Linked DNA regions of Oryzias latipes. The protein of the gene in region 1 purifies or fractionates together with the protein of each later gene. This does not show direct contact. Links are inferred from orthologs where the notes say so. Each region holds a gene or a part of one and is shown on either strand. Other genes may lie near its edges.

Region 1 (4,422 bases):
TTAATAAAGTTACATTTTAATTCCCTTGTGTATAATTTCAACAATTTATTTAGAGCTTTGGCTTAGGTAAAAAAAAGTTGATCATGACATCAGTCGTCTTTTACTCAGTGGTTACTCACATCTTATTCCAGATCAGAAAAGACTTGGCCATGAAAATGTTCTTATTTCCTGACAAAACCGTTTTTTTTAGTCCCCCTAACAGTCTGAGTGTGAAAAGGTGGCTTCATGGATCCACTTATAAACTAGAAAAACATCCAAAATAATCCAGTCACTTTATCTGTGCTTTTTTCTGTGGCTGAGAAGACTGTTGGCAGGAAGCTTCTCATGGGTTGATGAAATCAATTAATCAATCGGATTCAATCCAAGCTTAATAAATTAATAATCAATCCATAAACGTAAAGATTGATCTTTTATGCGTTTCCTTTTACCGTGACCTAATGCATAACCGCAGTAAAGCCAAAATCTATTAGCTTGATGCTAACGTATAATGGAATTTCCCATAGGACGGCTAATGCTAACACTCCTTTGACCTAAATGAACTGCTTTATATAATCACAGGCATGAATTTTCCAAACTCTTTTTTTTTTTAGGAAACATTTTTTTAAAGTACCGTAACCATTTGTGGGTAGAGCACCGTTTTTTACTCAAATCTTTTGGAATTAAGCTATAGCGAGAGCTCCACCTAGTGGCCATACTAAAACGTAGGTTTCTTTACAATCTGCACATTTTTGTTGGAGCTTCTCCGTTTGAGAAACCATGTAATGCTGCATGTTGTTAACAATCAATTGGTTTATTATTTCACGAATACATTTACTGTATATGTACTGTATCAGATCAATACAAGACGACCTGGTTACAGACAACATGGCGGGAAGACATCATTAGCCGGAACCGGGGTCTACGTTCACCCCAACCCAAATTTCTGTGGGAATATACTTTTATTTTGTTACTTTTTTTGTTCCAAATCATAATAATAATTTAACTGGCGACCCCAAGATTTACTGTTGTTTTTCCAGCTTTAAGCGTTAAAACTTTAGCACTGTAGATGTCTCTGTCAAAGCCCGCTTTGCTCTGAACGTAACTCCGTACGTGAATCAGCTGATCAGCTTTGCATCTGTAAGCAACAATTCAAAGCGAATTTTTGCAAATTGCTTATAAAGTGTTACATACCGGCGCAAAGCCGCTTTCCTCCGCAGTTACACTGTTTAATGTTGATAAGTTAAAAAGTTACGGTGAAGGAATGTAAACACTGGTGCTAAAGCTCCGGTGGGTTTACAAATCTAAACACATTTACTTATACACTTTTTGAAAGGAATAAAACAAATACCGTTTTTGCCCTGTTTTAATCTCACGTTGCACTCTGAACCATAAAGTCACATGATAGTTTTTAATAAACGGGGCTACAATTTTGAAAACTTGTAGCATTTCAGATTCCAGCAAATGATGTTTTGCCGCCATTCTGGACCTGCTGCCATCTTGGACTTGAGACCAGGTCCCCCTCGATTAATATGAATATCTTCAAAACATATATAGATTAATATTGTATTTCTATAAAAATATGTCTAAATGTGTAAACCATTTAAATTCAAAATTGAATCAAATTGTGGATCGAAACAATCAAAAATGAATCGATCCGGGTTCTGGCGAATCAAATCGATTCTGGGAATTATTGGTGATACTCAGCCCTACTCATCAATTGACAATATTACTGTTGCTGTTACATCATTATGTTGAATAGGATCTGTATGCTAAATAGTTTGTAAAAAATAAAAGAGCATTACTGTTTAGTAGAGGTGCAACAACTAACCAATTAATCGAGGAATTGATTTCAATTCCTCTGATCCAACCAGGTCGATCTGATCTGTCTGAGGCAAGTTGTTAATGGTATTGACTTAAACCATTAAAAAATGACTTTGAAATTAGATGAATCAAAAATGGATATTGGAAAATACCATTTGGATTGAGGTACAGTAGGTTTATTTGAATATAAGGTAAATACAACCGTTGCATCACAGCGGACAACACACACGTCATGCAGCAAAAACTGATCAGTCCATCAATCCAGTCCAATGTGTGGAAACACTTTGAATATAGCAAAAACATGTGACCAGACTGTGTGCTAGAATGTTCTAATAATGTTCCCTTTGCACTCTTTGGATGTGGAAAACAACAGTGGGCTGAACTTTAGGAAACTAAAATGTGGATGGATTTGACATCCATTCTTGTTTATTTGTTTGTTTGTTTACACTTCATTATCTTATAAGAAATACATGAAATCTGGAAATTTCCCCTGCACTGTTAGTACCCAGGTATTTCTCTTTGAGTCACATTGGTTGACGTTTGGCTAAAGATGTCCTATTTCCATTTTAGGTCAGTCAATTGTTCATTGTTCAGAACGACTATGACTACTAAATCGACTATGAATCGTGTCATCAATTGCAGAATATGATAAGAATAGAATCGTTGTTATCATATTCACTAGTTTTAGTGTCTCCAGAGTATTAAGGTCGGATTAGGCAGCCAGAAAAAAGCAGAAGACACTCCTACAGTATTCTGAAGTACTTTATGACAGGAGTGTTATTTTCTCAGCATTTTCTCTTCGCTTTGAGGTGTAATTTCATCTTACTGTGTTGAGTTCCAGAGTTTTTTTTCTTCTGCTGAAGTTTCCAGAACAGGCAAAGGAAAACTGTTTATAAAGCTTTCAATTTGGGATGTTGTTGCTACAGTTGTTGACAGTTTGTTTACTCTTGCTGCAGATGTGCATGGACTCAGAGAAGCACATGATCTATACGTTTGGTGGTCGTATCCTCACGTGTAACGGCAGCGTGGAGGACAGCCGCACGTCAGAGCCACAGTTCAGTGGCCTGTACGCCTTCCAGTGCCAGGTGGGGTCGTGGAGCCTGCTGAGGGAAGACTCCTGCAACGCTGGCCCAGAGGATATTCAGTCTCGCATTGGACACTGCATGCTCTTCCACACTGTAAGTCTGCACAGAATCGACCTTGTATCAGAACATTTTCACAAAAGACTCATTTAGGATCATCTTTTACTGCAGAGAAACCGCTGCCTCTATGTCTTTGGAGGTCAGAGGTCTAAGACTTACCTCAATGATTTCTTCAGTTATGATGTGGACGGAGACCACGTCGAGATCATTTCTGATGGCACCAAGAAGGACTCTGGCATGGGTAAGAACTAGCTCCTATTACTAACACTGCCTTAAGAAATAATGACTTAGAAAACTGAAAATGATCAATCATTATTTTATTCTTCTAGTTGGCAAAAAAACTACTTTATGTTAGTTTTCATTGTAATTTATTGGTATTTATAGTATAGGTTTAGCTAGGTCGGAATTTGACAAATAGACAAATATTTCAAGGAAAATCTCAAGAAAGTGATTTGAAATCAGATAGATGAACTATTTTGACAGCAACACAGCCTTATTAAATTCAGCAAACAGTTGGAATTTTTTAAAGCTTTGCGTCATTTATGTTGAAATTAGCGCATTTTAAAACTGTCTGTAGGTTTTATAAAAGGATGAGAACAAGGGCAAATTTAAATTACCTCCCTGCAGCTTCTACCTACCCCTACATTTAGCCCTCAAAGCGAAGAGATATGGAAAAACATTGTTGGAGGTTACTACCGAAAAATAATTCAATCAATAGATAATATTCAATGTAACTTGATCTGAAACATTAACACAGCAGCACCAATATATTTAAAGGTTTTAGTCTGAAGAAATAGGTAAAAACATTGCGCTGAATTTATTTCTAAATGATGGATAGTTTATTTATGATCTCAAAAGTGCAGCTGTTTTCCTGCATAACCTGCTGTCTTTATGTCAAATAGTGACACCAACTAAACAACAGGCAGACAAAGAATACATTGATGGAAAATAAAGACACATCATCGAAATGTCTACAATAATTGATGATCCAGGTGTCGCGCAAAAGAGGCTGCTCGCGTGCACGTCCCACCTCGCAGCCTGGGCCCACTACCCCCCCCCCCCCCTTTGATGCAGAGAAAGGGGCAGCTGCAGGGACGGCAGTTCACAGTTTCAGGCTGTTACAAACTCTGTGATATAACGGATAAGCCGTTAACCGCTACTACTGCACGCCCCCCCTGGCATCGCATCCGGGGGCGCGCCCCACTATTTGAGAAGACTTACAGTAAATCTTTTATAGTATACTATATCCCAGTCTGCCTCGGCAGTGTGTCTGCGTTTCGCCCACCAAAACAAACAACATCCAAACTTTTGCAAAGATGGATGTGCACATTGTGAATATAAAAGGAAATCGTTAAGCTGATCACCGCTAGCTCCACTGAGAAAGTGTGTTTGTGTGTGTTAGCTTGGGGGCGGGACTGGCAGCGCAGACTCTTCCTGGAAGGGGCTGTTCTCACTGGCCTACATCAGCTCGTAACCCGCT
Region 2 (4,916 bases), on another chromosome or scaffold:
CTAGCACTTATTTATACACTTTTCAATGACTAAAAATAGAGCATATCAAACTTAAATCTGCTCTAGTCTGTTTCAGATGTTTTGAAGGGAGCCCTGCAGTGTAGTAGTTAACACTAGTTAAAAAGTTTTCATGCTGCTTCTAATCACTGCTATTTCACATTTGTTCCTAATCAATAGTTAAGAAGTTTTATTGACTCTTTTGCCCTGACTGCCTTAAGGTTCTGCTTTTTGTTACTGTTGCAAAGTTACATTTACTTTTTAGTTACTTTAGTTACCTAATTAAATTAAATAATTGAAAAATTAAATACAATTAAATTACTGAGATCATTCAGCTAACTAGAAATACTTACTGCTTACAGTGTTGTAAAGAAAAACAAAATTAAGTAGTTTGACCTTATACTCCATTTGAGTCTGAGATTCAGGTATTTGGAGTTGCCTTTGATTCTTTGACATTCAGCTTAAAGCTTAGTGCATACAGTTTCATCTTCAATGCATTCATTAAATATCTTGCTGTCCATAGTACTAATTCCACCCGTCACTCCATCTAACATATTCCTATCTATTCCTGCCATGTCTTCCACATCTCTGACATGCTTCAGTCTCTCTTCAGTGACGGTGTTGGATTTATGATCATCGCGGTGAAAAACCACCAGGGGGCGCGCTGATATGTGTGTCAGTTTAAATATATCTGCCTAAAATGTAATAATAACCCACTGGCTTGTTCCTTCGTTGTTGCTGTTTAACATTGTTTAGTATTGAATTGTTACATTCAATAAAGTTTGAAAAAAAAATTGAGTGAGCGCGTGCCGCATGGTGCTCGGTAGTGACAGCCGCGCGCAGGCGGGAGAGGAGGAGAAGATAAAAGGTTTCCCATAGAAATCCTTGAAGTCTGAACACAGGACTAGCAGAAAAAGTAAATTATGAAGACGAGGTAAATCTACACGTTTTCGCAAAATATACTTTATTGAAAAAGGTGAAAAATGTATTAATTGTTAGATATTTTAGTGGCCCGAGCGGACAAGTAAAAAATAAAGTCTTGTGGTCCGTACTGCTCGAAAAACAGGACCGGGCCAGCGGACAAATGGCTATGTCGAGCCCTGATTTGAGGTAACCATTTATTGCGATTTTCGCCGTCTTTTGCGGTATGCATATTGCACACCTTGATTTCGCGATAACGATAAATTTGCGGTATATTGTGCAGGCCTAGTGACTGTCACTGTGGATTTAGTTTCAGAGATCACTCTGTGGGTCATATAGTTAATATGAACTACTATACATAGGCCAGATGCAGATGCTTCCATTTCTTTGCAATTATCAGCAAATATCAAGTAACTAGACCAGGGGACAGCAACCTTTAAAAGAGCTAATCACGTTGATTTCTCACCGACCACAACTCAGAAGGAGCTGTAGTCTTATTACGACAGTGGTTTGTGTTTATTATAGTATTGTCACTGTTATAAGAAATATAAATTATGGTTTATTCATTCCTAAAAACAAAATGAAATTAGATTTTTTTCCCAAATACGAATGAGTTTCTAACTTTTGACAGAGCTTCCTCTGACTTCCTTTCAAAATAAAAGACACACTGTGCCACATGGGATCATCCCACTGCAGAATATTTTGTACACGTTGTGTAATGTCAGTAGTGATTTAAAACACAACACAACATTGTTTTGTTGGTGCACCACAGCCACCGATTTGTAAACCTAACAAACTAAAATTAAACCAGAGCTAACTAAGTTACTTTACTCATAAGGTAAACTTAAAATCCTTAATTTTCTTCAAATCGACAGTGCTTCTTAGAACTGATTATCTCTGGCACATGGTGCTTAAAAGGCGACTTTGATAAACTACAAAACTGCATTGCTTTATGGCTTGCATTATGGGTATTGTAGTCAAAAACCTTGCAAAGTGATGTGTACTGTGCTTTAACTGCTCGTAAATGACTTTAATAAGATTTGACTTGTCTGACTGTTGTCATTCGTTCAATGTGGCTTTTAGTCCAAATAATAGATTACATTGTACATTTTAAAAACATTTTAAGTTTTCTTCAGAGCCACAATGGAAAGAAGCCTCCTGTTGCAGACCACTGAACTAGACAAATAAGTAGCACAGTTCAAAAACTAAGAGATTTTTCTAATACTGTTGTCTAAAAGTAAGCTAAGCAAGTTAGAAAAAAATGCATTTTAACAATAAAATAGTTATATAACCTGCTAATACACACCTCTGCATGTAATAGACACAATACTGCAGCCCTTAATAATTGCTAAATGAAATATTCAAATACGTAAGTCTCAGGCTGCAGTGAGCACAAGTCAAATGTGACAGATGAGTTATGGACCTTGAAGAGCTTCTTCTGTGTGTGTGTGTGCGCGCGCGCGCCCGCGTAAGGTGTCTCGCGCTGCTGGATGTCGTCATTCAGCAGGTGGGCAGCTAGATCCATCACAGCTCACACAAGTTCATCCACCTGTCCAGTTCATCCCGGGTGTCCTGTGACACCAGCAGCGTTTCCAGCCCTTCCTTCACGTCACATCCTCATGGAACAAATACTTGGGGTTGACATCATCCTTTTCTTTAAATAAATGACAAATCTCCGCCTCGCATTCATGCTGCACACCACAGTTCAGGCCGGCAAAAGTCAGTTGATAAGCGTGGCAACACTTCCTTCATTAGCCAACAGTTGAGTGTAATCCAGATCCAGCCGTTAGCGTGCTGCTAACCATCAGCGACTGATAATTTTGCGGCACTTCACCTTACAATTTGCACATTTTCAACACTACTGATAACAGCACCGATAGTACAAATTAAAAACACGAATCAATGTTTCAATATGCGTCACAACTGTTTTGAAATTAGAAACCGCTAATGTACCCTGCTACATGTAAGCTAGCGCTAGCTCTAATCGAGACTGATAGCGGCGGCATTCAGGAGCAGTCTGGCTCGACACGGCCGGCTTCTCTGCTCAAACGCGGCTAAAAAGATTAAGCTAAACGACGCCAGAGTCCACAATGGCCACATTGTTATTACAGCTGCAAACTAGGATCCACTAATGTCTGTAACGGTTTCTTCAGTCGTGTTTTTGTATTCCCCGAGGGCCCTCCCACGGCCGCACATGGCAGCCCTAGATCATAGATCCAACTCACCTTCCCGGCCACACGGCCGAGCCGTACGATCCCGAGCTTGAAATCCGACATGGGGAGAACGGTCTTGCAGTGACACCGGGAGGAAGTAGATCCAACTTAATCGGAACCGAGATGGACAGCTCGCCGAGGTAGCTCCCCAGCGATGCCACTTTGGGACTGAGCGAGTGGTAATTGACCTGTGTCCGGGTCTATCCGGCCGCAGCCCTGCCTCGGTGACACACCACCACCGCTGGCGCAGGAGAGCCGAGCGAGCTGCTGCGAGGGGGGCGGGACCGGGGAGAGGAACTAGTCAGGGGTGAATCAACCAATGAGATGCGAGTTTGGTGCCAGCAGCGAGTTCATTCAGACCAATAGAAAACGAGAACGTTCAAAGGCCGCCCATTTCAGATATGACGCCATTGAACTCTCGTGACCATGCACAGACATTTGCGCGCGAAATAAAGTGATAAGTAAGCAAATGGCATTGAAACTACTAGTGACCTGATAATCCTATTCTAATTGTACAAAACTAAGTCAGATAGTTTAAAGATGTCGGTTTGCCCTCAACTCAGCACATAGGTTTGCTTTTAGAAATTACAGGTTATTTTTGAGAGCCTTCAGAGATTAGATGACCCAATCTAATGAAAATGTTTTTTTGGTGTTTTTAACATGATGATGATGATGGTAAAATTGCCTTTTTAAGTATTTCTTCATTGTGGTGAAACAAGAGAGATCAAAAAACTAAGTTGTTTGTAAAAGCTTGTAGTTGTGATGTATCATCACATCTATAATCTACATTACAGGCAATAAGCTCCCTCCACTTCATTCCAATGCTGCAGACATAATCTTTGTACGTCTCGTCTGAGCTGGCATGTGGTTTAGAACTGTACGGTGGTTAGCTCCAACATAGCTCACCATCTTTGTCCCACCGCTAAAGTATGGTTGTAAGGGGCTGTAATGGGCTTGTGAGTGAGAATGTACACAGATGGATGATGGGAAATAAGCCAACGGTCCCGCCCACAACTCAGGCAAATTTCTCATGACCCTAAAACGCTACAAGTTTTTTCCATTTTGGCAAAGTGCTGGCAGTTTTGTCTGAAATTTGGATTAGATTAATGACTGAAGTCTATTCTATAAAAGTTTTATTAGTGAGAATGTCACAACACTAAGCACATTTAACATACCTGTACTATGGGTCTTGGACCAAAAGCTTTTTCTTTTATGCTACATATCTGAAAAGGAGCAGTGCCTTTTTCCTAATTCTGCACCAGAGAAAGAAAGAAAAAGAGTCTAATTAAGACAACATAGTATTTATACAAAAGCACAATTGCTTGAACTCTTCCAGTTTTAGAAAGGATAGGATTGTTATATTTGTGATGTAACAGTCATTAAAGTCAAACAAATTCCATCATGATTAACAAACATAATTCATGTGTTTTGTGGATGGGCATTGCAACATAATGCCACCATGTCCACACAAACCCGGCGTGGTGTGCATAGGCGGAGCAGTGGATGTGTGGCCTATTAACAAAACCTACTCTGCTGAGGACATGGATACTCTAGTGAGTGTAAGTAAACTAGCATCTTCAAAACACCTGTTTTTGCTCTATTATTTATTTAGCATTTTACACAAAAACTCAGTTTCATTTTCATTATTATAAAGTTTCTTTATGTTACTGTATTTGTCTAGCCTTGTTTGAATGTCTTCAATTGGGTTTAAACCAACTTATGATTCATCTGGAAATGTTTCTTCAATGTGAACCAGGCTTCCCCAATAACATTTAATCTATTGTA

Evidence for each region. Proteins that work in one complex are often made in the same cells at the same time.
Region 2: the proteins of mkln1 (region 1) and zmynd19 purify together in Homo sapiens (affinity purification with mass spectrometry; 3 studies listed by BioGRID and IntAct, with this or other methods). This does not show direct contact. The link is inferred for Oryzias latipes from reciprocal best matches to the Homo sapiens genes MKLN1 and ZMYND19.

What each region holds. Positions count from the first base shown.
Region 1 is NC_019881.2:8,970,535-8,974,956, reverse strand, and holds part of mkln1 (muskelin), read left to right. Parts: intron 1-2,756; coding exon 2,757-2,978; intron 2,979-3,053; coding exon 3,054-3,183; intron 3,184-4,422. UniProt on the Homo sapiens protein: Component of the CTLH E3 ubiquitin-protein ligase complex that selectively accepts ubiquitin from UBE2H and mediates ubiquitination and subsequent proteasomal degradation of the transcription factor HBP1.
Region 2 is NC_019870.2:12,308,994-12,313,909, reverse strand, and holds the start of zmynd19 (zinc finger MYND domain-containing protein 19), read right to left. Parts: upstream 3,425-4,916; 5' UTR 3,195-3,424; coding exon 3,144-3,194; intron 1-3,143. UniProt on the Homo sapiens protein: May be involved as a regulatory molecule in GPR24/MCH-R1 signaling.